Astyanax mexicanus: one gene and its partners. The protein of the gene in region 1 interacts with the protein of each later gene in a biochemical or structural test. Links are inferred from orthologs where the notes say so. Each region holds a gene or a part of one and is shown in the gene's direction. Other genes may lie near its edges. The genes, in order: cdk1, rgcc, cdca5 and hmga1a.

Region 1 (7,127 bases):
TATTTGATGGCAGACCGTATAAATCCAGGGTAGACTTAATTTATTGGTATACTCAGTAGAAAAAGTGTTGTAAGAAGGAACAGTAACATTACAAAGTGGGAAATGCTTTGGCATTGCCTTTTTGGAAAGTGTTGAGGCCTGAAATGCAGGAATGGATGTTTAATAACACATAAAGTTGAAGTTGAGCAGATAAAACATAAAATATCTTGGGTTCATACTGTTTGCAATCAAAGTCATGATAACTCTAACATATCTAACTTTTGTGTTGTGTTGTAAACCATGATATATAAAGACATACATTACTCATCTATTGGCTTTAATTAATTTATTATTATTTACAATCCATATGAATCCAGAGCATTTTTATTTTAAGTTATTGTTGCTTTTATCTAACAGGCTCCTTTATTCATCAGTACATGATGGTCCCCTCAGCCAATTAGAGCACAGTAAATCTGCATATAAATGTATTTGGGATGCTGGAGTGAGGGTGTGTTTAATTAAACTCAGTTCCTCTGGGTCTGGGTCTGAATGAAAGCTTTTGTTCCTGTATGAAGGGAATGATTTCTCTGCAATTATAAAATCCTGCTGCGCTCCAGTGCCTCTATTGTGTCTGTATGCAGGTCAACTAAAGCCAAAAAGCAAATACCCAAAAATTCCCCAGTCCCCCCTCTTCCATTTAAATGTAGTCAGAATGTACCTGCTGGACTGTCTGAGGTGAAACAGACTAAAACTAGAATAAGTTTCTTCAGCTTCACTTGGCCTGAAACTTATTATGCATCAGGATCATATTCTCTGCCCGTCACTTACCTAAAATATAAAGGTATTTATATAAAGGTTTATTTGTGATAAGTGCCACACTTAACCCTTGTGTGGTGTTCGGGTCTGTGGGACCTGTTTTCATGTTTCATCAAATGATACTAAAATATATTTTTTCTAACTCATTTTTCTAACGCATTGGCTCATTTTTTGTGAAAAACATATATCAAAACACATTTTCGATAATCACACACTGTACACCCCCCTCCCCAACCATTTATATTACATACAGTATATTTGGCCAAGGGCTAATAAACATTGCTTCATTTGTAAATTTGAAACTAAACAAATTTTCTACTCATATCTTGAGTTAAATTCATTTTCTTTTACATTTTATTAAAAAACTAATAAAAAAAAGAGTAGCACTTTTTTAAAAGAAATGTAACATAAGAAAGGTAAAGGGCAAATATTAACCATGTAAGCTGTTTATATTGCTTGCAATTTAGGTGAAGCAAGCATGTGTAAAGCATTTTAATGTAAAAATTGCTTAATTTTGCTGAATTAAATACAAGTAACAAAGTAAACGAGTAACAAAAATATGAACCCCACACAAGGGTTAAGGGAAAAATCATTTGTGGTGTAGTGAAACATGATAACTAGTACAAACTTTTGTTGAACAGCCCTCCTCCTTTTGCCCCCAGCATTCTGAAATGCAGTGCTTTTAGCTAATGCTCCCAACAGGCTTACAATGCTAGTGATAAAAAGAAATCCCTATTTTAAAACCAATAACATGCTCAATGTAGCTCCACACTTTGAAAGTGCACAGGTAGTTTATTTTAAAAGACTGTTTATACTCACAGTACCTTGCCATCTAAATTCAGGTGGATTAGCGCCCCTTTAATGGTGCAAATATAGCGCTTTATTTGATTGGCAACACTATGCCCCTATTACTAGCATTGGGAGCATCAGCTATAGGCGCCGTATTTTGGAATGCTGGGGACGAATGGAGGTGGGCTATTCGCCAAACGTTCATAGCCATTATCATGTTTCACAACACCATTATGTCCATTACACCACTACAAGTTAATTTTACAGTGGGTTTCTCCTTTAAGGTATTTCATGGTCACATCTGTTTTGCAGCCAGCATTATCCAAACTTATTTTTGCTTGCTTTTTTTAAAAGGGTACATAATGTGTGTAATGTGTAATGTTCGTCTTCTAAAGTAGTATGCTAATGTAAACCTCACATTTTAAGCATTGTTTTGGTTTAGTCAGGCTTGTACACAAGTCTTGTTAAAACTGCGAAATGTTAAATGGTCCACTTTTTCCGCAATATTTTAGCATTTTATCAGAGGTTTATGACAATAACACTGATTATTTATTTGTTTTTAAATAATATTTCTAGGACTATCATTGTTTTTGACAGGCAAAATGTGTAATACATTAGTAGAAAGTTGTTTTAATGGGAGTAAAATGTGATATCACTACAGTCTGCTGTGCTAGGAGGAACATTTTTTAATGACAGCCAGTTTGTCTTTTGTGTTAGGGGTCTTCTAATTTTACTATAACACAGTGTCACAGTAACAGTACCTGTAACATAGCGCCTTTGGTGTGTGTGTTTACCTTTACCCAATAATGGCCTGATCATGACCGTCTGGAAAACAGGCTGTACAGAGGAAACAGCGACTCCACTGGTGGCCCACAGAATTACACTACACTTATGAGTCGTGCTGCAGTGGCCTCGTGTGGCGGCGCGCGATACCCATACCTGTCAAGTTTTATATTTAAAAATAAGGGATATTTTCCTCCGTCCGCTTAAAGTCGTCCCACCAGCCCAACCAAGATTTAGTATTCCTTACATTTTAAGACAGGTTTACAAGAAATCTAAAATAACCACATGTGAACCACTTACACACTAAATTTAGATTATCAGAATCTGATATACCTCTGCGCTCCGCGAAACCAGCAAGCTGATTGGCTGTTTCTCCTGAAAGGCGAGACTTTCTCCTTGAACCGGCACCACGATTGGTTAAGAGACACAGATCGGTCAGTGCCCTGTCTCCTCAATAATAAAGTTTTTTTAATTTTAATATAATACGGGAAATTTACGGGAAAATATTAATACGGGAGGACGGCGGGAAAGAGGAGTAAAATACGGTAGTTTCCCGGCCAAAACGGGAGACTTGACAGGTATGGCGATACCTCATGTTGTAAACAACTCCACATTAGTGATTAGAGGGCACATTTCAGGCACCACTAATGTCCAAACACTACCCCTTAATGATCCATTAGATACACACACACACATGCATAATTAATACACTTAAAGGAAGGGACCAGTGCAATCTGTCTTGTGGTCCTCTGAGGCTGGGTCAATGTTTTATAGCTGGCGAAAGCCTATACATAATGCAGGTTTGCCCCTATGTTTTAATGTGCCCTATGTTTGTTCTATGTTTACAGTGAATAGTTAGATTAAAAAAATAACAGTTATTATTTACCCTATATGTAGTTGGTTATCTGTGGCATATTCTGTGTCCATGTTAGTGCTGGAATTACAAGGCCACACAATATTATAGTCTCATACTGAGACATATTTCCCATATTGGTAAATATCTGGATGTCCAGTTAAGAGTGTGCTGATAAAAAAAAAAAAAAAAAAAACGGGTGTCGGGTGTTAATTGGGTCATATTGTTAGTGTGAGTCATGCATATATATGTACCAGTTTTAGAACAGTTCACTTTTTTTAACTTTCCAGTAGCAGTGCTGTATGGCCCGTAAAAATTTGTTTTTTCATTATTTTGTCATCTTAAAATTATCTTAGCAATGACTTTATTGTTTCACTTTACCTGAACAACTGAGACCTAATCCAATGTATGTTAAGCTTAGCTAAAGATGTTGCATGTTACATGTTCCAGCACTGCTTTACTACAGTTTATTTTTATTGCTACAGACCAGTGCTAAGTTTTTAACCAATGACTTCTTTCCAACCACCCCTCCCTATTTTTGTTTAATATATGTTTTGTATATGCTTATTTTACAATATATATTTTCTTCTTTTTTTAATAAACATTTTTTCCTTTTTTAATGATTTACACAACCCTTTTTGGTGTATTTTTACAATATACACACACACACACACACACACATATATATATATATATATATATATATATATATATATATATATATATATATATATATATATATTTTTTTTTTTTTTTTTTTTTTTTTTTTTTTTTTTTTTTTTCAGGTATGGATTTCGTGACATTATATCCTTCGGTCGCGCTGTAAAGTACACCACTCCCGCCGGAGCTCTTCCTCCACCTGATTGGCCTGTTTAAAATCTGTCAGTGTGCTGTGATTGGTCCGTTTTGAATTGCGTCAGCGCGGTCAGTTTGAACGGGAGGAATTCTCCAACAGACAAGTTTACCCTCACTCTTACATACACACACCTTTACACACACTCACATTCACTCTTTTTCACACACTATTCTGCCGCCGGACAGCGTGTTTAGAGGACGCGGGTGAGTGTTCGGGCGCTATTTTCTGCGAATGTTTTATTTGGTCCGTAATAATGTTCAGTTAAAAGCGGAGGAGTTAGCATCAGTGCTAACTGTAGTCAGATCCGCTTCAGCTTTAACTCTAGCTGTCTGCCTAGCGTTAGCTTAGCTTAGCTCGGTCAAATCTGCTGTAAGTACAGTTGGTTTTTTTGTTTTAAGTAAACATTAGCTAAATCATTAAAACGAGTAATAGTTTGTGTAGCTTTTTATCTAAATTAGATAACCTAGGTTAGGTGACTTATGGAGGACAGTGACAGGAGACTGTATAACCATGAAGCCCTAATTTCTGCTGAAGTCTTCTTTGACATAATTAATATCAAATGTATAACTAACTAGTTAACAAGCTTAGAAAGACAGTTTATCACAGGCTGGTGTGTGTGTGTAGGTTTATGAGTGTGTGTTAAACGGTTTTATGTACTTAATATGACATTAAAATGGTGTAGGTTAAGTTCTGTAATTAGCTACAGTGGGACTCAGTTTGGGCTGTGTGCCAAAAAAATAAAAAATAACTGTTAAGTTTTTGTTGTTTAGTTAAACTATTGTGGTTATAATAAACATTTTATCCGAAGGGCTGTTCAGAAACAGCAGCTACTGTAACACGACTGAGCCTGAACAAGAAAACAAAAGGCAGTCAGAATATATAATAGATACAAATATATATATACAGGTAAATCTTATAGAATAAAATGCACCTTTTTTAGATGTTGACATAAAATGTCAGGATAAAGTAACTAGCTAATTACATGTGTAGCCCAAGCTCTGTAATGCAATGTTAACTACTGTAACACAAATGGACTTAAGCAGGAAAACTACAGTGTAAAGGCAAATGAAACCCCATTTTGATGGCTTTTATAAATACCAAGATTGGATGTTTGTTTGAAATCATGCAGTCAGTATATGTGTAGTTATTCATGTTTTTAATAATAACAATAAAATCCTTTTTAATGCAAATGTAATTGTTTACTGCGTTTAGTTTAAGCCACGGTACGTCTGAATCTGATTGTCTTGTGTGTCTGTGTGCATAAATACAGTTGTCTTTAAAAAAAAAAAAAACTGTACTGGTCTATACTGTAATTTTACAAACCTTATGACATTCTACAGCTGCAGAAATTTTTAAAAGACTGAATGTGTTTCTCTCCACAGAAAACTGATAAAAATGGAAGACTACATGAAAATAGAGAAAATTGGAGAAGGTGAGTGATAACTGTGCATTAGTATCTTCAGAAACTAGCCTGACTCTGATTTATATTATTCAGCTCTGGAAAAAGAGACAGCTTAAAAATGCTTAGTTTCTTAGATTCTACCAAATTGAAAACCTCTGGAATATAATCAAGAGGAAGACTGATGATCAAACCAAGCTAAACTGCTTGAATTTCTGCTCCAGGAGTGGCATAAAGTTATCCAAAAGCAGTGTGTAAGACTAGTGGAGGAGAACGTGCCAAGATGCATGAAAATTGTGATCAGAAAGCTCTGCATCTTTTTTTTTTTCTATTTTCTGGAAATAAATGCTCTAAATTAATTTTTTTTGGGGATTTTGCAGAAATGTTAAAACAATTTTCATTTTACTGAAACATATACTTTTAAATAGCAAAATCAGATAAACTGGTTCAGAAACTGAAGTGGTCTCTTTTTCCAGAGCTGTATTCAGTGTGTGATCATATTGTAACCAGCAGTAATGCTATATTACGTACGTTAGTCTTATTGGTGGTAAGAATTGTCCTGTGTGTGTTGTCCTGTCTTAGGTACATATGGAGTTGTGTATAAAGGTCGTCACAAGTCCACGGGTCAGGTGGTGGCCCTGAAGAAGATCCGCCTGGAGAGCGAGGAGGAGGGGGTCCCGAGCACAGCCGTCCGAGAAATCTCTCTGCTCAAAGAGCTTCAGCACCCTAACGTCGTACGGTGTGTACACTTGTATATCTATGATGTGTTCTCATATGCTTATACTACACTTTTATTTAGGTAATTTTTTTTTTTGTGTTTTGTTGGCTCAAAACTGAACATGAAAAAAAAATAATCAAAGTATATTGTTTTGCTATATGTATAATTTTGTCAAACAGTACTGATTATTAATTATTCCTTTATATTTAGGAATTTGTTAATAAAGTTCACTCTTGTTTAAACCATTTAATCCCTCTAGGTAGAAGTGTTACACTCCACTGTTGTGATTGCATTAAAAAATACAATTCTTTTACTTATAGTATAAAACATTATGTATAAAATATCACTTTAATTTTTTTTTATTTAAACAAGTGCAGTTTATTGACTTGTTTACAGTATCTGATATAGTGTGACATATTGATATATTTATTTGCATAAATTGTACACTTATTTGTGTAAAGGTTTGCTGCACTATATCCAATTAAACAGGAGTTACAACAATCAGGTTTATTTAGTGGCATTATCCACGGTGTTTTCCAAAAAGCAAAAGTTCATGACAATAACTGTGTCATAGTACCCTAATATAGACCTGCAAACATGTTTATATTTTGTCTTACAATATTCTAGTTTGAAAAGCAAGTTTACAGCGTAGTACCTGCTTAAAAATATGATAATGACATATGATTAATCACATAATATTGTGTAAATTTAATACAGCTAATTGTTTTGATTGACACTGAATTATTATTTAATTTTCCCAATCGAACAGTGATTAATTTATTTATATTTAAGTATTCACTATTTAAAGCTTAAGGAAATCTGGTAGATCACATGGTTTACACATATTTAAACTGGTGATTTTTAAGTTTTTTTTGTCCTCTCCCTTCTTCCTCAAGTAAATAATTGTTCATTTGTTACTGCCCATTGGAGTTAT
Region 2 (6,890 bases), on another chromosome or scaffold:
CACTTGTTTGACCACATTTCTAAATTATCTCCAATTTGTAGCACTGATTTAGAATCTTTCATGTATGATCACTTAACAGACAGGATCAGGTCCATGATTGAAGCCCTCTGCTAAGCTTTAATGATTTGATGAAACTCCTGTTCCTATCAGAAATCATACAAAAGAGATTAATCTGATTCTCCACCAGTGTTTGTGCTAAGAAGCTTTATGATTGCAAACCCAGAGCTGCAGCAATACTGTTTTTTTTTGTGGATGATAAGAAATTAAATATTTCTTTCCTTTTTTTTTACAGTTGCAGATCTGGGACACAGCAGGGCAGGAGAGATTTCGAAAGAGTATGGTGGAACACTACTACCGCAATGTCCATGCTGTCATCTTTGTGTATGATGTGACCAATCTCGCTTCCTTTGAGAGTCTGCCAGAGTGGATTGAAGAATGCAGCCACCATGCCGTCCCTCCTGTGGTGCCCCGTATCTTGGTGGGGAACAAATGTGACCTAGGAAGAGGAGAGGTTCCCACCTCGTTGGCGCAGCGTCTAGCTGACAGCTACAATTTCCCCCTTTTCGAGACATCTGCTAAGGACCCTGCTGAGAAAGAGCATGTGGATGCCATCTTTCTCACCTTGGCCTACAAGCTAAAGAATCACAAGCCCCTGAGACTGAAACAGCCAAGTGAAGGTGTTGCAATGAATTCAGATAGTGAGAAGGAGGAGTCCTGTTTCTGCTGAGCTAATGTGGCCTAAATACTTATGAATCACTAAGTAACTGAGAAGACACTAAAGATGGCATTAATTTCAAATGTTCAAAAGCATGGGGAATATTGCTGATCAGAAGGACTGCACATATCCTTTGTGTTTTCATTTTCATTCACTCTCTAAGGCCAGTTTAAATGTTTACATAAAACAGAATGATTTTGAAATCAAATACTATACTTAGTTTTAGGAGTTAAAAAGGAACCAGCTGAGAGTGTTGATTGGATCATTTGATCACTTACTGTAAATAGTTTAAATTCATTCATATCAAATACTCCAGACTCATACAGTATTCATACAAGATATGTATGTGTCATACATTTCTTACATGGTTATACTATATAATTTCAAAAGAACACAGGAGACAAGCTAAACGGTCTGGCAGCAGTTGCATGTTTACAGCCAATTTGGAACACTTGCTCTATTTGCACAGGCTTAGTATTGTATACGGCCTCAAATGTCTGATGTGAACAAGAATTGGATAAAATGTGATTTACAATAATTATCAGTTGCTGAGAAAAGCATGAGTGTTGCTATTGATCAATATAAACAACACTGTCGTATGTTTTAAACTGTTTATCAAATTCAGTTTAAGTAAAATAATGAGGGATGTTTATAACAAGGCACTTTATTATGAGCATGGAAACAAAATATGTAGCATCCTCCCACTCAGCTTGTAGAGGATTGATACTTCTTAGTATTGAGTGTGTGATGTTGGAGCCATTTTTAATACAGCAAAACAACAAAATCCATTAAGATACCGTTCCTGTAAATGTGAATGTGGACCATACTGGTGGAAGACAATAGCTTGTATTGATGATGCATTTTGTCTGTCACTTTTCTGGAAGTCCTTGGAATTTAACACTCCCTTATGTTCAATAATGGTAAAGAATGTGTCATAAATGTGTATGTGACTGATGAAATGTCAAAATAAACATGGACATGATTCATTATTTCTCATTTGTTTAAACTACTTGGGAAAGCAACTGTTGGATTGCATTTTATATGTACAACCAATATATATTTTTATTAGCATATTTTTATAGTTTCATATGTTATGTGTGTTACATGACAGATGTTAAGTTGAAACATTCATTATGATGCAAGTAAATACAGTTTATGATAGCATGTAATACAGTACATATGTCAATAATATTGACATAATTAATCCACATTTTGGGCCTGTGAACTAAACAAAGCCCTGTTCTCCGTACAGGAGGTGTTATATTTGTCACTTTGTGTGACACTGTGTATGTAATTATCTCGCACAGCAGCTTTGAAAGCCATCAGGAAAGTGCAGATGCAAACACACTCTGTGTTTTGCCAGTTGTCTATGTGCTAAACCAGGCAATGTAGGTGTAGTAAAATGCTAAACGTGCTGGATTTCACACCTCAGTAGGGGTAGAGAAAATACAGAAATTAGCCCTTTAAATACTCCTACTAATTGAGCACAGGGTACAAATACAAACAGAAATGATCTAGGCATATGTATATACTTTTGCTATAGCTAAACTACAGAGTTAACAAATTGTATATATTTTTATTTATATGTATATACAAATAATTGCTCTTAAGTATGCTTGGGTAGCTTTAAAAAAGAATGGCTGTACAGCCACCCATATCCTTACATAAAATGATTGAAAAAAAGTCAGTTAAAAACATATTGTATATTTCCAAAAAACAACTTCACACGAAAAGAAAAAAAAGCTTAATTTACCATGAAGATGCAAGAAGTCTTGAGAACCTATTGCATTCTAAAACGTATTTCTATCATAAATGCAGTTACTGTTTCAAACCAGCAGGTGTCCCTACAAACTCACTATTATAGAGGAGAGGCTTCTCGCGCTGTAGGCTAAACAGAGTCTGTAGAACAGCAATATATTTTATTATATTGGTTTTCTATTCAGATTAACCCACACTGTTGGAAAAAATAACGAATGAACAGCCCTTTAGTATGGACTAAAAAATATATTTTTTCTCATTTTTTATATAAATGTTATTGAGTTAATGTGGTCCCGGAGTTCCCACTTAAAACTTATGTCCCTCCCTCCCTTAAATGAAAAAATATATATGGGCATACATTTAGATTATATACCTTCTCATTCAATGTTTGTTATGAAGGAACACACAAAGAATCATGTAGTAAACCTTTCTGAGGCGGTGCTGATGAGAGCCAGTTTTATCGTAAAGCTTTTAATAGTCTTTGCGACTGCACTTGAGGATATTTCAAAGTCCTTGAAATTTTTTGGATAAACTGACCTTCATTCTTATATATATTTTTTTACTTAGTTGAGTAATTCTTGCTATAATATGGATTAGAACATTACTCAATCAGGCTATTCACTGCGTATACCATGACTAAGTTATAACTGATGCTCTCAAACACATTAAAAGGCAAGAAATTCAAGTAATTTACTTTTGACCAGTTCAGCACAGCTGTTAACTGAAAGCCTTTCCAGGTGGCTCTACCTCATAAAGATGACGTAGAAAATTCAGCCAAAAAATCTAAAATTTAAAACAGGTTCTGGTTTGTTTAACACGTTTTTGTTTAGTAAATAAATCCAAATGTTTTGTTTTATAGTTTGGATGACTTAAGTATTAATCTACTATGCAGATGTTTACAAGGCACTGAATTTAAGATGTGTCCAAATGTATTTTATAAGACACTATTAATCCCAGGGCAAATTTCACATATTACTGTAGCCCAAGGTATAGAAAAGGCAAACACAGTAGCAAAGAAATTCTAACAATATTACACAATGTTTACATAAGTCAAAAGTTTTAAAATAAAGACAGGGAATAAAATATGTGTATATATTTGTCTATTAATACACAAATACATATAAATATATTTATTTCCTCTGTGTGAATGATGATGACTGTACCTCGTGTTAATGTGTAAGGTATGTGAGGGCAGGGTGGACTCCTGATTATAAATAAAGAGGAACTGTATGTTACGGGCTGCATGTTTATTCAGTTTACTCACACTCAGAGGAGAAATGACGGCACGCTGTGTGAAGAAGGAGCTAAAACCGGCTGCGGGGCTGAAGTTTACCTCACGTTCCCCACGCCTCCGCCTCGGGCCACGCCCACCGGCGGGAGGCGGGGAAGATTTAAAAGCGCTCAGGCTGCTTTTACTGCAGCAGGAGTGCGTATAGAGCTCAGAGCGGAGAGCGCGCGGGGGCACGAGCGACACTTTTACTGATTTGGATCATTATTTTGGAATAGTTCTGGGATAGACAGCAGCTACCTGACCCAGCATGAAGTCTCCAAAGATGAAGTCTCAGAGCAAGTGTGAGTTCAGTAGTGAGCTGTAGGGCACTTCTCCACCCTCGTGGTGGAGCTTTAGGACCTGTACAGGTTTAGTTTATCATACATATATTTAGTTCAGTTTAAGGTATACTGAAGTGTTAAACTTTGTTCTTGCTGTTGTTTCCAGCCTTTCTGGAGGAGGACGATGACCTGAACGCCGTGCTGTGCGAGTTCGACGCCGTTATCGAGGACTTCACCTCCCCCATCGAGAAGAGACACTTCAGATACGACGAGCACCTCAAGACCATGAAGAGGAGGAGCAGCGCCAGCGTCAGTGACAGCGGCATCAGCGACTCAGAGAGTGAGTGCTGCTGAGTTACTCACAGATAGTCACACACTCATCCTGAGAGGATTATACATGCAGTGATATCACTGATAAGATTAGCAGTAAAAAAGAACTAACTGTACTGGAGACTGTGAGGAGGCTTAGAAAGCTGCTGCTGCTCTTGCTGTTGTGCTTCATATTCACTAACCTACCCAGCTAACACATTTTTAGTTGGTAGAACGTTTTCTGGTCAGTGTAACTTAACGCTTATTAATATAATCTTCTGACTGTTCGAGAAGTAAAAACTCATTTTTTAATGTAGTGCAGTGTACAAGAAGTAAGTGGTTATCCATTTTTCCAATTTTAGTTTTTTCAGCCCCTCACAATTGTAATTTCAGGAAAATTTATTTTCTTTATTTTCTGATTTTTCCATTTTTGCATTTTGCAAGTTGGGTTATAACATCAGATTTGTGTTACAAGACACAAAATCTGAGAAATCTGAAAATTGAGAGAAGATTTGCCTTTTCATTTTTCTTGAAATTCTATTTGCATCAGCTACCTTTCCCCACATCACTCCAAAGGGTGATGTCGCTCAGCACAAGGCGTCTGTGAGCTGATGTATCAGAACCGAGTCGCTGCGCTTTCCTCCGAGCGCTGTGATGCTACTTAGCAATGCTGCATCAGCAGCAGTTCTAAAAGAGGTGGTGGCTGACTTCACATGTATCAGAGGAGGCATATGCTAGTCTTTACCCTCCTGGTGTTGAGGCATCACTAGTGATAGGGGGAGTCCTAATGAGTGGGTTGGGTAATTGGCTGTGTAAATTGGTGAGAAAATGGGGGGGGGGGGGGGGGGGGGGAATAGAAATAAAACTATATTATATGAAATTCTATTTGTAACCCCATTTCTTCTTCACTCAACTGAATGGAAAAAAAATGATAAAGACTTATACCCAGTTTTCTATTTTCAAACTTAGCTTGATACAGTCAGCAAAACGTTACACTGACCTTTTCTGAACGTTGCAGTTAGTAATTTTAGTACCTTTATTCTTTCAAGCTTTATGGATGTCCTTAGGACATTTTATTTATTGAATGCCTTTAATTGCCACGTGTGTCAAAGTTTCAAACTTTTAGTTGTGGAAATGTTACTTTTAAAGTTTCAAAGTTTCAAAATTTGAAAAATTCTAATCAAAACGTTGCTAAACGTTCTTATAACGCCCTCTGTTTTCTGGGGCAATACTTACAAGCCAGTTTTTTCCAACACTCATAGTTGAGACTCACTGACTTGACTGACACATTTTAGTGCTTTTCCACCTTTAACACACCCGCTTTAACTTAATTATGGGCTGTTAATGAGATGATTAGTTGGATCACGTGTTGGGAGCAGGGAAAGCACTAAAAAGTGCAGGACAGTGGGCCTCCAGAACCAAGATTGAGAAATGTATTATACATAAAGACTTACCTTTAGGTAAGTCGCCTGTTAGTTAACAGGTTATGTAAGCTATTTCTGTTAAAGGAGGGAAATAAGCAAACTATGCTGATTCTGAAGAAGCATGTTTGACATGCTTGTAATGGAGACATGTTTGTCCATGGGTTCCATTTAGGCCCCACATTTGGATGTCAGTGATGGGGCCCCAACAGGGTCAGTAATAGGACGAGTTGGAGTTAGACATGGGCCTCAACTGGGTTGTACATGGCACATGGGACCTAGATGAGACCCATGTGAGCTGTGCCCACTTGGAACATACCAAGCCCACATTCCACTCTTGTTAGCTCTACATGAGAACATTGGCTGGGTTGCCATATAATCACAATGTAATAATAATAATAATAATAATAATAATAATAAAAATAATGGTCACTGTGCTTAGGAGACTACAGTACAGCCCTTAATGTTATTTATGATTATCATTTTAAAATAAATTCTTGTAACTGTTCTGCTGGTGCAATCAAAAAAAAAAAGAAAGAAAGAAATATTTGTTTTGCCAAGCATTGATGTATCGCCCACCCATAGGCATTTTCAACTGAAACCAGATTATGAAATGCTCTTTAGAGAGCCAGGGTTAGTATCTGCAGGCAGCACTCACGTGGCAGATTTCCTTCTCAGTGATCTATCTTAAAGCAGGTATATGGAGGTCAAGTGAAGGCCCTCACAACCACTCCCTTTAGAATGAAGCTCAGCTCTTGATGTTTACTTAAGGCATGGGCTTGTGCTCATTTTGCTTTCTTCTTTGACAACATATTCAGACATGTCAGTCTCCATTTCAGAGTTGGACTGATGCCATGTGGTGCTAGTACAGATTATGTCAGGTTCTTGAGATGGTGTGTAATGCCTGGAACAACAGCAGCTGATGTTCACAGCTTTGTCTGAACAGGTAGTGTTATTGGGAGCATTCCGGCAGGCTTCCAGCAGTTAGTTCTAAGTGTGGATCAGACTCTGTCAGTGTTAAAGAGCCACAAGGAGCTGTGCAGAGAGAGCTTAGGGAGCACACAGATATATGAGGACAGCCAGAACTAACCTAGTGGGTTTGAGCACATCCAGGAGATTATAGGGTGTCATTTTCA
Region 3 (7,331 bases), on another chromosome or scaffold:
GGAGGAAACATGTGCTAGTCTTCACCCTCCTGGTGTGTTGTGGCATTACTAGTGATAGGGGGAGTCCTAATGAGTGGGTTGGGTAATTGGCCGTGTAAATTGGGGAGAAAAATGGGAAAAATTAGAAATAAAATTATAAAAAAAAAAAAAAAAAATTATATATATATATATATATATATATATATATATATATATATATATATATGTTGACTGCTGTTCAGTGTTGTGTAATATATATATATATATATATATATATATATATATATATATATATATATATATATATGCTGACTGCTGTTCAGTGTTGTGTAATTTTACATAAAGAAAAAAAAATCTAAATCAATCAATCATCCCATTCCATTAACAAAGTTACCATGCCAAATAAAGTGCCAGATTAAGGCCAAAGACCTGATTCTTTTGCCAGCAAAGGGCAAGCAGAGACTCAACTTCTAAGAATTTCATGCTGTCGGAAATCTTTTCTTGAACAAAGCAGATGCAACAAAAACAGGTCCAGTCCATCTGATTTTGTACTGTATGTAACATAGCCGCTTATCTAACATTTTGATTTTGATACCACTGCTCTACATGAACAGCTGGAGTTTCTAACAGACATTCCAGACAAATGCGCTTTATATGTTTGTATGCATTTTAAGGTACATACATACATACAACATATAATTTAATACATGGTTGTGACATGGATTTTTGCTGAACCTTTGCTTTCTCCAATATGTTTTTTTAAGGAGAACCCATTAATTTAATGAGCTGATTTTATTTATTATTTTATTTTTTTAGAATACTTTTAAAAATATTTAAATTCTGATGGCTGAATGTTCTTCATAATGAAAAGTCTGTTGCTCTTTAAAATGGTCTAATTGCATTATAACGCTGTTATAGCATCATTATATCTGTGGCATAAATTGGCTTAAAATGGCAATACTATTGTTTATCATAATCTTTTCTGGAAAAATATATTCTCCAAACAAACTTTTTATCGTGACAAACCTACTGTATAGCTGATTTCCTCAACTGGGTGCAAAAAGCTGCATCATGTCCAACCAATCAACCATCATTCCATTCCTCTAACTGAGAAAGGCCCCCAGCTCACATGTGATGCGACTTTGTATTTAAGGAGTTATCTTTAACACCCTTACACAGTATTATAACCAGCCATTGCTGCTAAGCAGTATTATTCATCTAGCCACGGCATGCACATGCTGATTTAGCCATGAAATATAATGTAAAGGACTGACTCACCATAGCACACCAACCTCACAGTGTCCTGGGAAATAAGAGGTTGATTACACAAACTGCAGTTGGGATTGTAATCGCTGTCCTGGAGCCACTGCAGGTAGGATTGTACTATACACTGCACAGAAGCGGAACAGAACAGCACAGTCAACATTTGAAGGTGAACAAGGCGGACAGCCAACATGTGAGATCTGTATACACAATAATCAGTCTACAGACCTTACTGTGATTGGATACAAGGCAGTGCTCACAAACATTGACCCGATGTTCAAAGCAGAAGAGGTTTGTAACCTTCCTCTTCGGGCACTTACACAGACCCATGGTCTGCCTGTCGAACTGTACACAAACACATGAAATTAGTGTAAACAAATGTCAGTGCATCAATGCCCCAAATAGTTGTACACTACATAGAAAGTTGGTGGCTGCACATTTGAGCCAAGTTTGATTATTACGGAAACATTCTTTCAAATTTAAGTAATACCTTCAGGCCATAGAAAGGGATCAGAGACAACTGGCCTGTACCCTTACATTATCACCATATACAACCTATGCATTTTTCTACAGTACATACTGTTGCATGAAAATAAAGACACAAACATGCCTAATTATGTCTGTCAGACGTCATATAGGAAACTGACATAAATAACTGATTAGCACAGTGATTGATTATTCTACTCAGGCTTTAGTAGAGTTTAATACATCTGAGATACTAAATAACTGATCAGATAGAAAGATAAATAAATAAATAGGTGATAAATAGGTAGACAGACAGACAGATATAAAAACAGATAGATAAAAAACATAGATTGATGTTTAATATTTTATTACATTAAATTACTTTAAACGAAGGCCAACTGGACTGTAACCTAATGTTTTATAAAGTGGGCTTTTATCAAACTAAAAAAAATAAATAAGGAAAAACAGTAATAAGACAATACACTGACATATAGCCATATAACCACATCAACTAGCTAGGTTAGAAACACACCCATCCTTTTCTTTTAAAAGTACAGAACAAATTAGTGGCCTCAGTGTGATCAAATGTTAATTAGCAAGCTAGTTTAGTAGGTATATTAAGTTACTCCCAAATAGTTGGTTTCAGAATCAGCTGTTCCACGCCCTAAGTAGACGTACCCTATGTATGGAGCAGGGGGGGATACATCACCTAAAATAACAAAGTAAATAAACCTGTGTCAAGGTTATATAGGTAGGTATGTTGTTTAGCTAGCTTTAACGCTGTGGGTAAGAAATATTAAGCTGTATGATTTTTCAGTGTCTTGTTATCGCATATTAGATCGCTTGGTTACCTGTCTCTCTAGTTGGCTAAGTTAGCCTGTTAGCTGTGTTTAGAGTGGGGCGTTTAACCCCAGCTGTCAAAACCCCGTTAGAGTAAAATCAGGGACGAATACGAGGCATTACTAAACTTACCGAGACAGCGCGGGTTCAGTCAAGCTCCGTGTCTTTAAACTGAAGCTCAGAACTGTGAAAAATGTCCTGGTCCAGCTAATCTAACTCATATTTGTGATGCATTTATCGGGAAGCATTTTTCTGCCACGTCTCTTCCGCTACAGTCGCAGAGTAATGACATCACACTGCACATGGGCTGTGTCCCAATACTCCTGTAAAGCCTTCACTTCTGTGTGCTCTTGTTTAAAGTCTTCTAGCCAATCACAGTTGTATGTCTTACTCTGATCTGAATTCTGCAACAAATTCGGAACTAGTTCAATTACTGATTTTAAAAGAGTATGTGATTCTATACCAAATGGTGTTATTTGCTTACTTAAAAGAAATTACATGTTTTCAGATACTTTTTCTTCAACACTCTAAGACCTAACCTGTTCTAATGATGAATAAGATATCTAAATGCTCTTTATGTCTGTAATGTACTCAAAAACAGAATTCAGTAAATAAATACATAAAAAAATAGAAATTAAACATAATATTTGTATTTTGTCTGTTTATTGCAGTGCAGTCATTTGATCAACAATGCTATTTTTATTATTATTATATATATATATATATATATGTATATATATATATATATATATATATATATATATATATATATATATATATATATATTACAAATTACAAAGCAATAAAAAACTCATAACCTGCCACATTAGCAGGGATGCTACCATGTTTTACCTTAGTGAGCAGATTTTTAGTTTTCCAATGCAGTGGGCGGGCTAATCATCTGTTTGTTTTCAATAATACATGTCTGTTCTGGTGGACAATAGGTCTTAATCTGTGTGAAGTGAAAAAATACATAAGAAAGTAGAAAACATAACATGTCCAATGGATGCAAAGTCGAAAAAGGTTTAAAAATATATAACTTAGTATTTCTTAAAATAGGGGGCGAAATTTGATAATAACTCGTGAGCGTCTATTTTAAATTGTTTGGTACAGCGTCTTTACTGCCTGCTCTTCTTAGTTTTGCCTGATCTACAAACCTGGAAATTCACATCCCCACCAGCTATGCCATTATATTAAACGGGACCATGAGCTACAGATCAGAGAACGTCGAACAAAGCACACTACTTATTCAATTATTGGGACACAGCCACTTTTTCTAAACGACAACGTTACAAACAGCGCCGCCTACCGGATTAAAGGTTGAACTGACGCTATTTTTAACTTGTGTTACATTTATTTCTAAATATATTTTAGAAATAATATTTTATTATAAGTCAGGAACGCATTATCTGACGTTTCTATTGTTTTTTAATAAATAAAAAAATCACTCACTATATATTTAATAATTAATTAATGTTTTAAACGAGCTTGGTAGATGAGTAGTTCGATTCCTACAACGAACCGATTCTTTTGTCCGTTTTAATGAATCTCACGTCGGATTTGGTTAAACTCACGCATTTTTGTAATGTTACAGTGTCGCATTTCATGATATTTGTGGGTTTTTTTGTGTAAGTAAAACAGTAAAATTATTATTATATCATTGTAATCCTTCACGTGTAACCGAACTGAAGGGGACGTTACGAATCAGCTTGAAATTAAAATGTTCAAATGAACCGACTCAAACGATTCATTCACAAATCGAGTCCCTCTGTTGTTCCGCCATTTCTGTTAGGAAGGCGGGTAATTTTGAAAGCTCGCCGGGCAGCTCGCGTTTCTCTAGTGAGAGAAATATCTCGAATTTAGTTGAACCGAGCGCGGAATTTTGGAGTTCACATATTTCTTTATGTGTTCGCGTTTTCTGTGGGCAGCAGGCTCGCTACTTTTTGACTTTTTTGAGTAACTTTAAAAATGAGCAGCAGGACACCGCGGTCAGCGTCGACTGGCCTCATAAAAAGCAGAGGTGAGTGACTGAACTGAACCAGCCCACGATAACTCTTTATTTCTGTACTGCAGAGTCATAACTAATACAATAACTAGCTAAGTTATTTAACTAGGTTGGCCAACTCCTATTTCATTTGCTTAGCCAGGCTAGCTAAATATTATAGTTATTTTAACGCTGTGTTGTCATAAGCTAACGTTAGCTTAAGTTACTGTTTGGGTAGTTAGCTAACGTTAGCTAACCTTACTAGCGTTAAGAAACTAACTAGTGGTAATTAACTAACTGTTAGCTCGGTTAACTTATATGTTATAGTCCTGTTTGATTCTGATAAAATATGTTAATTTAATAATAGGTTCGAGTGTCTTAGTTAGCTAGCTAATGATTATCTAATAGAAATTAATGGAACCAATGTGTGCTTTTTGTGGACTGCTCCTTCTCTGAACTCAAGCTCTTACATAACAGTTAGCCAGCTGGCTAGGTTAACATTAACATTAGACCATTTCAGTTCTACTCTCTCTTAAAAGTGCAACAAAGGGAGCCTTACATATTAGTGTAAATATTAAACTAGGGGTGGGCGATATGGCCCTTAAGACAATATCATGATATTGCATGGCATTTGTGTGACAATACTCTACACTACTGCGGCAAATAAAAAGGAAATTATATTGTTGCACAAAATATCACCCCTAAAACACCTAATTTAGATATCAGCACTTCAAATATCCAGGATTAAAGTAAAATAAATGATGCTGCACAGTTATAATCTGTCTCTAGTAGATATATAACAGGGATTGAAAACAGTGTTTATTTTTCTTTTGCTGAAAACAGCAAAAAGTAGTAACCTGATGTGATAAAAGGTTGGATATGGCACTATATTTCAGGGTATAAAATCGATATAATTGCGTACAAAATTATATGGCACATCCCTATATTAAGCAATACAAAAACTCATTTTCACAAAGCAATGTATTGTTTATACATGTTAAACTGTTTATTCGAGACAGTATAAGCCCTGAAAGCTCTCCAACAAACATACAACTAATTTAAGCATTGTCTACTTTCTTTTAATGGTTTTACAATGTTGTTAAAAGGTAGTTCTGTTTATGTTTGTTGAGAAATGTTGTCACAACCTAATTTAGTTAATAATTAATAGTTAATAATAATTAATAGTTAATATAAAGTTAGGCTGAACCAAATTAATTTCTTGGCCAGACGAGAACAAAATTACAGTTGTAAAAACAAAATAACCTAATCAGCAATGCATTGTTAAGACAAAGCAATCGCAGAAGTACCAATTTTGAGAAGTTAAGTAAAAGTATAATAAGAAATACAGAACTAAATGAGATTCCAGTCTAATTGCTTCCATTCTGACAGATATTTAAATTAATAGTTTTGGTTGGCAAACTTTAAAGGCATTTACTTCCAAATATTTAGTGCATTGCTATTAATAAATGTACAGTCTGACAGTGTTTTAGGCACCAAACAATAGGTTGTCACAGTCTAAGTGTGTTTGCTGGGACCTTTCATAAATAAAGTGCACATAATAAAATGTACATTTTTTGGCAGTAGTTGAACTAGTGTTATGTTGCAATGTCCTCATTAGCGATGTCCTCTTCATTATATTGCTAAAATATCATGAAATAGTTCATAATACACTCTTAGAATTTAACGTAACACTCTAACTGACTTTTGAAAATCTTTTTGAGAGTTGCTGAATCAAATTATTATGACATTTCATTTTTGTTTGGGTAAGTTTAGTTGTGCATTGTGTTCTTAGAAACAGATGAAGGCAGCCAACAGCGAAGGAGATCAGCAAGGCTGTCGGGGAATGAAGAAAACCTGCCCCCCAAAGATGAGGTGAGAATTTTGCTGGATGTTCACTGTTTAAACTATTCTCTAAATATAAAGCTAGATTACATTATTTTACAGGAATCTGACCTACTGTAAAACCTTTTTTGAATAATATGTTAAAAAAACAAAGGTGCATCGAAAACAGCACACTACTACAAGAAGTAGTATTTAAAAGTAGTGCTTCATCATTAGAAGTAAACAAAAGCCCTAATAGGCAAATCTGTTCACTTTTCCACCAACTTTACAACTTTGGGCTTTATCAGTACATACCAAGTTTAGAGTAACAAGAATTCATATTTTATCCATGTGCCAGTCTCTTTCTTTATAATTTCTGTAAAGTACAGTCATTTGTGTTGTGTACATTAAGAATCGTATGTGGTTTGGTATACATGCTCAGGTCCAGATGCACAAAAGCATTCGTATACCACTGATTAGAAAACTTCGCTACTTTGAGATGCGCAAGTTGCTTAAACAAGCATTCAGTTGCACACAGTGTGTATACTCTTTTTATATAAATGCGGTGGGTTGCGCTGGACAGGTATCACATCATCAGTACCTGATGTGAATGTGGCTAATTGCAATAAAATATTGCAGAAAAGATTTTAACACCTAGTTTAAAGCCTTTCCAGGAGAGGATAGGCTTTTAAAGCATATGACTATGTGTCTACAAACCTTTAGGCATATTATGTTATTAATGATTTATATGCCTCTTTGCTTCTTCAGGTTCCACGCGTTTCTGTTAAACGCTCCATCACTGTACGAAAAATTGCACCCAGGAAAACTCAGGTAACTACAAATAAGCACATTGATAAATAAGCACTGTTCTTGTTTTCATTCATTATACATATATTTCTTCACACCATGCTTTTTTTTGGTCACAGGTACCATCAGAGCCTATCAAGGAAAATGTGGAAAGAAGATCCAGTGCCGGAAA
Region 4 (8,011 bases), on another chromosome or scaffold:
AGTCCCACAGGGTTCTATTTTAGGGTGTTTCAAATGGTTGTAAATTATGATAGTAGTGCATTTATATGTTTTATAGATTGAAGAACTGATTTTCATAAAGAGTTTAATGGGTTAACAAAACGTTCTGACCCAAAAACACTTCTAAAATCACTTTTACACTGTTTAATGATGGTGTTCTTACTAATTTACTACACCCACTACTTTAATGACGACGGGAACAAACCTACAATACCAGTCAAAAGATTGTATATACCTTTTTCCTTTATTTAATTTATTTTCTACATTGTAGATTAATATTAAATATATGAAAACGATTAAGGGACACATATAGAATTATGTAGTAAACAGTAAAAAAAGTGTTATTCCTCCACATTAATCCCCTGATCTAAACTTGATGAACTGAGATTTAGATGATTTGAGGTGATTTAATTGGGATGAGCTGGAGCAGCAACTATTGTTCAGCACCTCCAGGAACTCCTTCCTTCAAGATGCTGAGAAAACTATACCATGTGACTCTCCCTCATGAAGATACTGAGATTAAAATTCTTAGAAGAATTTAAAGTATAAAACAGATTCTGGTTTGTTTAAAAAAAAATTGAAAATCGAAAAATTGAAAAAAAAAAAAAAAAACACTGAATTGAATGAGAAGAAGAGGTGTGTCCAAACTTTTGACTGGTACTGTATATACTTTAAAACCAACAATTGTCCTTCATATTTTTTGTCCTTTGTATTTGTTTGCAAAAACAAACAATGAAAGCCCATTCCCTTAAAATAAAAAAAGACCCACAGGGTTCAATTTTAGGGCGTATAAAAATGAATGTTAATTATGAAATGAAGAACTGAAGTGGGGCCATCATACAGAGTTTAATGTGTTAACAAAAACCTCCAATACAAAAAGGAAACCAAAAAACTTTTTCACTTTTTGATGATATTTCTCTTACTGCTTATTGCATCCAGTATATCACTGATAAAGGGACAAAATCTATATATTTAAAATAAAAATAGATGTCCTTCACATTTTAGTACACTGTGCTACATCAATAAGAACCCTTGGGCAAGACTCCTAACACTACATTTTCCCATTTCTGTAATAGGAATAACCTTGTCGCTATGGAGCATCAGCTAAATGACCTAAAACACAATTATAATAAATGAATATATAAAAATACTTATATATATAGGATAGGTGAGTCTAAAACCAAGCAATTATATTGATATAATTTTAGTTTTTTAAGAGACAAAGTCATTCATTTGAAATACTGACAGTAAGTGGTGGTTTTGAGTACCTTTATTGATATTTTAAGATGATTAATGCTTATTTCTCTTTATTTCCTCTTTATTTTGATCTTTTCCTCTTATATTCTTAGGCACATTATGCTGTTAGACTGAATAGTAATTCAATGAACAATAAACAGATTAATATAAATGTTAAAAATACTTGGAAATAAAGTAAAAGTTTAGTTCCTGAAAGTAATAAATTGAGTGGTACAATCTTTTTGTGTGAGTAACCTTTGTGAGTTTGCTTTGCTTTACTGTTGGAACACAAACTAGTTTATTATGTTATCTGTACAGCACTGAGTGTTGAATCTGAATGGACTTTACCCCTTGAACCGTAGCTTTATGATAGGAGTTAATAATCCTTCTGCAGGAGCTTTTTTAGGACTATTAGGTAACCGTTTAGTTTAAGGTTTTATATATGGAGTTCCACAGGGTTCCGTTTTAGGGAGTATCAAATTGTTTAGAGTTATGCCAGTAGATTAAAGTTTAAAGTGTTACATAAAAAGTCTGAATCACTTTTTTTATACTCTCAGAGTGCCGAACACATCAAAAGAATAATATATGACTTAAACACAAAGCTTTATTGTGGCAGGAGCTAAAGTCTAATCATTTTACAGCATGAAACCTGTGACACTGCTATTGTTTGTTAAGAGTGTAGTAACAGTTACTAAAACAGGTACTAGTATCTTGGATAAGACTTGAGCAATAGTATGTTCTATCGAAGAATCATGTTTTTCTATACATTATTATATAGCATAATTCTAGAAGGCCCAAATTTATATTGGACTATATATAAAATTTTAATTTTGCTTATTTAACGTTTCTAAAAATCTTACGTATATATGATATTATTATGTTGCTGATTGGATCGTAAACAGCCATAGCAACTTAAGTTGAGTAGAGTATAGGGCAAGGGAATGGACGCTATGCGTAAACTCATATGTTAGGTGCAGAATTTATTTCTCTGCTATTGATCCATTAAGAAATTGTGAGGCAGTGTAAGGGACAGTTTGTGTGTTCAAATTATGTAGTAAAGGAAACATTGATTTGCCCTGTAATGTAATTTTAAGGATTCAAATGAATTATACCACTAATACAATGATAATTATAATAAATTAACTTTTGACCAACATTTGTTTCTTTTTTTTTTGCTTTTAAAAATCAGTTTATTTCCTCTTTTTGATTTTTAATGGCATTTTCCCCTCTTATATTACTTTTACTTTCATATTTAAATCAGTTTTAACATCAGTACATTTAAACTTTTACTTAAAGAGTAAAAAGCTTGAGTTGAAACTTCAACAGCTACAGAAGTATTTTATTAAACCATAGTATCTATACTTCTACCTATACAGAGTAATGAATGGGTAAATAGAGAGAAATAATAGCGATAAGTGTTTAATAGTTTTGTCATTTTAGGAATACCAACTTTTTTATACCACTGATACAATGATAATTATTTTTCTCCTTGTTATTTAATCACAGTTTATTTCCTCATTTTGATTTTTAATGGCATTTAATGGCATTTTTCCTTAAACTTCTACCTGAGTAATAAATGGAAATACTTCTCACAACTTTGGTCTATTTATTAGGAAATTGTGACACAGTGTAAGGGGCAGTATATGTGTTCACATTATGTAGCATTAGCAAACTAAAAATGTATGTAAATGTTATACAAAAATAAACTGCAAAAAAGTGTTTAATAATATTGTCATTTTTAGAATGTTTATTTCTTCTTTTTGTTTTTAATGCCATTTTTCCTTATATTACTTTTATTTTTATACTTTAATTAGTTTTTAAACCAGTACTTTTCTTTTTAATTAAAGAGTAAAAGCTTAAGTTGATGCTTTAGCTTCTTCTTCCTTTTCCTCTGACACCACTTTTATACTTTAAGTAGTTTAGTAGTAAAGCTTCAGCTTCTACCTTTGGTCCATTCATTAAGAATTTGTGACGCAGTGAAAGTTTGTGTTCAAATTATCTATCGAGCCAAAAATTAGAGAGTTCAAAAGTGTTTAACAGTATTGTAATTTTAATAAAACATTTTTATACCACTGATACAGTGATAATTATGAAAAATAAATACTTCCTTTGTGGAACTAACCTTTGACCCACTTTATTTCTTCTTTTTTTATTGCAGTTTATTTTTTATTTTATTTAATTTTCCTTGAGTAAAAACTCGAGTTGATACTTCAAATTCTACAGAAACATTTTAAAACCCTAGAATATACTAATATACTTCTACCTGAGTAATAAGTGTTTAATAGTATTGTCATACCACTGATGGTATACAATGATAACTAACTTTTGACCATCACACTGCCATCTTATTTATAAACTCCTTTATAAACTCTGATCCTAAAACGTCAATGGGCCCCTGATTGAATAAAAAAAAGGTAGATCCCTAAAAGCATTACAATTTGATTTGATTTGATTTAAGGAAAAAAAGAAATGTGTTGAAAAAAATATTAAAATATAATAATAATAATAATAATAATAATAATAATAATAATAATAATAATAATAATAATAATTTGAGAAAATCTTGTGGCGGATCTCTGGAATGTTTACTTGCCTTTGAGATAGTTGTTTATATGTTGTTGTTTTTCCTGCTTTCATTCTTTTTCGGTTTATCACTGTAACTCTTTTAAACTTCAATAAAAAAGAAAAAAAAACTTTTCACAAACACAATTTACCATTTTTTTGGGAGAGAGGCCTAAATTTTGAAAATAAATAAATGTAATAAAAAAATCACTGTGAAAAAGGTGGAAAAAGTACTGAAAAATTCTAATTAAGTAAAAGTACCTTCACTTTGCTAAAAATAAAAGTAAAAGTAAAAGTACCCATCTAAAAATCTACTCGAGTAAAAGTAAAAAAAATAATCAATTTAAAATGTACTTTGAGTAAAAGTTACATAGTTACTTTTATTTATTTGATGTAAAAAAAATCAACAAATCATAAATTAAATAAATATTAAATTAAATAATTTGGACCAGTATTCGTTCAGACCACCCTACAAAACATTTTCAAGAACAAGTGGCATAGGTTTCTATGATCCATTTTTTTCTTTACTTGTTAAAAAGTTATGGTCATATAGGTGACTATTAACTGTATTTTTATAGATTTACAGTTCATTATTATTTGTTTAACTTTTCATTGCTATGCTTTAACTGTTTTTAAAATGATTTACATGTTTTGTTTTGTTTTTAACATCCAAGCAGATTAATGTTTAATGTTCCCAATAAAAACTTCAGGAATTATTATGAAAAACATAAAAAAATACAAAAAACCAAACAAAAATGTTGGTCGACGCATGCGCAGTGCCGTAAAGAAGCACATATTGATGGGAAAACTTTTTTTTTTAAATTCAGACAATTTGTTTTTTTTTTTTCCCCAGCATTTTATTTTTTACTCAGTTTAACGGGGAGAGTTTTCCAATGTAGCGAAGTAAATTACTTGTGTCAAAATGTACTTGAGTAAAAGAACTACTTTAAAAATGACAAATTACTCATAAAATCTACTCAATTACAGTAATGTGAGTAAATGAGTAAATGTAATAAGTTACTTTCCACTTCTGAATTGTCTTAACTCTGAAAATACACCCTTATATTATGTAATATTGAATAATATTGTGTAAATGATGTTAAGGTGATCTTTTGTGTATAGTCCCCTGCTTAATTACCATATATAACCCCGCCCACCTCGCTGTGGCCCGTGAGGAAGCCTGTTTAAAATGCCCTGAGAGACAGCCGGGCCTTCAGCAGCGCCTCACTCCCGCACACCGGGCTCACCGCTCAGCACGCACCCAGCCTGGGACTGCCCTCAGCCTTCTCACCGCCGCACTGCTTAGCTCCAGACCAGGTACTTCCTTTATTTACTCATTTAAACTTCCTAAATTCTGCTTTATCTCCTGTTCACAACCTTATTTTACCCTTTTATATTCTGATTTACTATCCATATAAAGCACAGGGGGGGTTTAACCAGGTTAACTCGTGCTTTAAAAAAATGCGACCGTTCTTTACAGCGACTTTAGCGGCGATTATCTGCTTTATTTCAGCTCCTTCTTCGAGTTTGAGTCGAGGTACGCGTTGTAAAACGTGTTAACAATTTTTCTGATGCGTGATTCATTGTGAATTTGCAGTAAATTCGCTGTAAATCCGTCTAAAATCGAGTGTATTTACGTGCAGGGCTAGCTAGTTTGGCGCTAGCTTAGCACCACGCATGCTCAGTAGCTTCATAACGAGCTATAGCTAAAGCCTTTAGTGTGTGGCTCGTGCTTCATTGTTCAATGCAACGTGCTGCTGCTGCTAATACAAAAAACCGCCTTTGGCACGGTGTTAAAGCACGATTAAAGCACTTAAACCAGCTTTTTAAGTCGATTCGAGCGCGATTAAATTAATTTAATCGATTAATCGTGCTGCATTCGCACGTTCTTCCAAAAAAGCAACAAAAAACAGGGTGGTTTAGGGTGCCTTTTGTTGTTTGTGCGCCACCGTGTTTTTGGCGCTCAAATGCATGCAATCTGGCGCCAGTCTGGGCTTATGCATACATGCATGCTTGCATTCACGCACGCCTATGCACTAACTAAAGCATTTGCATGTATTTACTTATTTTTGTTCTCGTGCATGCTTTTAATTTTTTATTTTATTATAATATTTCATAATGCACGCCTGCTTATTTATTCTGTCTGTGTAGTGATATAAATACATGCATATGTTGTAATTTCGCTTTATTTTTGTGCTGTTGGAGCCACGCGGGCATCCGTAGCGAGTAAACTGCTTTTTTTTGGATTCTGGAATTGGCTAAGGCTGTAGCTAACTTGTGCTTAAAATGGGGATGTTATCAGCTTTATTCCAGCAATGGTAGCTCTCGAGATTAACACGAGATAATAAGGGCTTTGAAGCACGTAAGATAAGGTATTATCGATGCATGGTTCATTGAGAATTTTGTAGTTATGTAGCCAGCTATAGTGCGTGCATTTTTATTTTTTTCAAGTTTAAGCATTTTAAATATGTGTATAGAAGTTGTAGCCTGCTTATTCTTTAGCTTTTGTGTCGAGTTAAGAGTTTGAAGCACGTGAAGCACTCTTCATTGATGCACGATAAACTTATTTTTGGAGTGTATGTAGTTTAAGCTATTTTTATTAGTTCCTTTCTTTTTAAATTCATGCAAATGTTGTGCTTTCAATTTCAATGCTGTTGCAGCCACAGGGGTATCTGTAGCTAGTAATCAGCATTGCCTCGATTTAGCCAGCTAGTGTGAGCTAACTTGTTTTAAAACGTGTAGACTAGATTATACAGGCTTTTGTTTTGCTTTAACACTATTAGTGTAGTATACTATAGCATAGTATGAATTAAATTGAGATTTGAAGGGTTTTGATGCATGCGAAAAATAAATAATTTTATTGATGCATGATTTGTTATACATTAAATATGTGTAGGTAGCTACTTACATGCATGCACAAATTGTGATTTTTTTTTTTTATTATTATTTATTTTGCTTTTGCATCTAGTAATCAGACTGCTCACTTTGGGAGAAGTTGCATAAACAAGAGATTTTGCTTGCCAGCTATTTAAATTTCTTTCCTTGGTTTAGGGTTCTAGACTGCAGTGTGCATGCAGTTTTAAAGCTGCAGGACTAAAAAACTGAAGGTGTGCATGCATTGATTTCTTCTTATTTCTCTTTCCCAAAGTAAGTCAACATGAGTGACGCCAAGGACGCCATGTCTCCTAAAGATAAGGATGGAGCAGAGAAGAGAGGCCGTGGAAGACCAAGGAAGCACCCACAGGTAATGTGCAGTAATGCAAGATACTTAATTCTAGATAACTAAGTGTGGTACAAGCGTATGCAAAAAAGGAAATTCTCACAAAATAACAGTAGTTATTAATAACATTTTATAATGCTAAATTTGATGTAGAATGATGCTTATGCCAAACAAGTTAAAGTATTACAATTCTTGGTATCCAAATGTGAATTAAACAGACGTTAAACAGATTATACTACCTACTTGATTAAAAGTTGGGGCACGAGGTAAACCAGTAAAACCTACATGCTCTGCAAATGCTGAGGTTTTGAGCTAATGCACAGAGTGTTCTTCACAATAGGTGTCATTGCATGTGAGGAAATGGCATGACTCATTTCCTTTTTACTGGTAAGAATCAATACTAAACAATATGGCAAAAAAGTAAGTACTTCAACTTACTTTTTAAAGTACACACAATTCATAGCAGCTCGTACTTGAATGAATACAGTGAAATATATGAAATTGTCGTATCTTGTAGTAAAAGGACATTCAGTAGAATGCACAAAGCATTTTTAGGTTTTAACTTTTAGAGTTGCACTGATCTTAAAATGATATAGTTTATTTCTATACAAAATAAACTGTTTTAAAACCAGCAAGCATCACCTGTAAACATGTGCTGGACTAAATAGAGAAAGATATAGTGACACATATGTAACAGGCTGCAGTACTACATTTACAGCACTAGGGCTCCTGTAGTTTTATAAATACTCAGTAATTTGTGTATTTAATGCATGAGTCATTAAAATGAGTAATCTTGTGTAATCAATTACATTTTATTAAAAAGGGTTTTAACAAGGTCCTTAAATTCTTAAATTGTTTTACCTACAGCAAATTTACAGTAAATGTGTTACATTTTAGGCGGTGCATTTAATGCACAAAGTTAATGATTATGTTTTTGTGTTTATTATTATATATTTTTTTATCAGACATTACTTT

The links.
Region 2: of the proteins of cdk1 (region 1) and rgcc, one has a biochemical effect on the other in vitro, tested with the Homo sapiens proteins (2 studies listed by BioGRID and IntAct). The link is inferred for Astyanax mexicanus from reciprocal best matches to the Homo sapiens genes CDK1 and RGCC.
Region 3: of the proteins of cdk1 (region 1) and cdca5, one has a biochemical effect on the other in vitro, tested with the Homo sapiens proteins (2 studies listed by BioGRID). The link is inferred for Astyanax mexicanus from reciprocal best matches to the Homo sapiens genes CDK1 and CDCA5.
Region 4: of the proteins of cdk1 (region 1) and hmga1a, one has a biochemical effect on the other in vitro, tested with the Homo sapiens proteins (3 studies listed by BioGRID and IntAct). The link is inferred for Astyanax mexicanus from reciprocal best matches to the Homo sapiens genes CDK1 and HMGA1.

The regions. Positions count from the first base shown.
Region 1 is NC_064421.1:44,353,947-44,361,073, forward strand, and holds the start of cdk1 (cyclin-dependent kinase 1), read left to right. Parts: upstream 1-4,121; 5' UTR 4,122-4,279; intron 4,280-5,458; 5' UTR 5,459-5,471; coding exon 5,472-5,508; intron 5,509-6,057; coding exon 6,058-6,214; intron 6,215-7,127. UniProt on the Homo sapiens protein: Plays a key role in the control of the eukaryotic cell cycle by modulating the centrosome cycle as well as mitotic onset; promotes G2-M transition via association with multiple interphase cyclins.
Region 2 is NC_064418.1:27,770,681-27,777,570, forward strand, and holds the start of rgcc (regulator of cell cycle RGCC), read left to right. Parts: upstream 1-3,880; 5' UTR 3,881-4,011; coding exon 4,012-4,045; intron 4,046-4,190; coding exon 4,191-4,364; intron 4,365-6,890. Other genes in the region: zgc:101559 (ras-related protein Rab-33B-like), read left to right, coding at 293-727. UniProt on the Homo sapiens protein: Modulates the activity of cell cycle-specific kinases. Enhances CDK1 activity. May contribute to the regulation of the cell cycle. May inhibit growth of glioma cells by promoting arrest of mitotic progression at the G2/M transition.
Region 3 is NC_064408.1:21,133,385-21,140,715, forward strand, and holds the start of cdca5 (sororin), read left to right. Parts: upstream 1-4,318; 5' UTR 4,319-4,515; coding exon 4,516-4,567; intron 4,568-6,323; coding exon 6,324-6,403; intron 6,404-7,120; coding exon 7,121-7,183; intron 7,184-7,278; coding exon 7,279-7,331. Other genes in the region: zfpl1 (zinc finger protein-like 1), read right to left, coding at 1,258-1,369, 1,471-1,572. UniProt on the Homo sapiens protein: Regulator of sister chromatid cohesion in mitosis stabilizing cohesin complex association with chromatin. May antagonize the action of WAPL which stimulates cohesin dissociation from chromatin.
Region 4 is NC_064420.1:49,603,277-49,611,287, reverse strand, and holds the start of hmga1a (high mobility group AT-hook 1a), read left to right. Parts: upstream 1-4,991; 5' UTR 4,992-5,133; intron 5,134-6,964; 5' UTR 6,965-6,973; coding exon 6,974-7,060; intron 7,061-8,011. UniProt on the Homo sapiens protein: HMG-I/Y bind preferentially to the minor groove of A+T rich regions in double-stranded DNA. It is suggested that these proteins could function in nucleosome phasing and in the 3'-end processing of mRNA transcripts.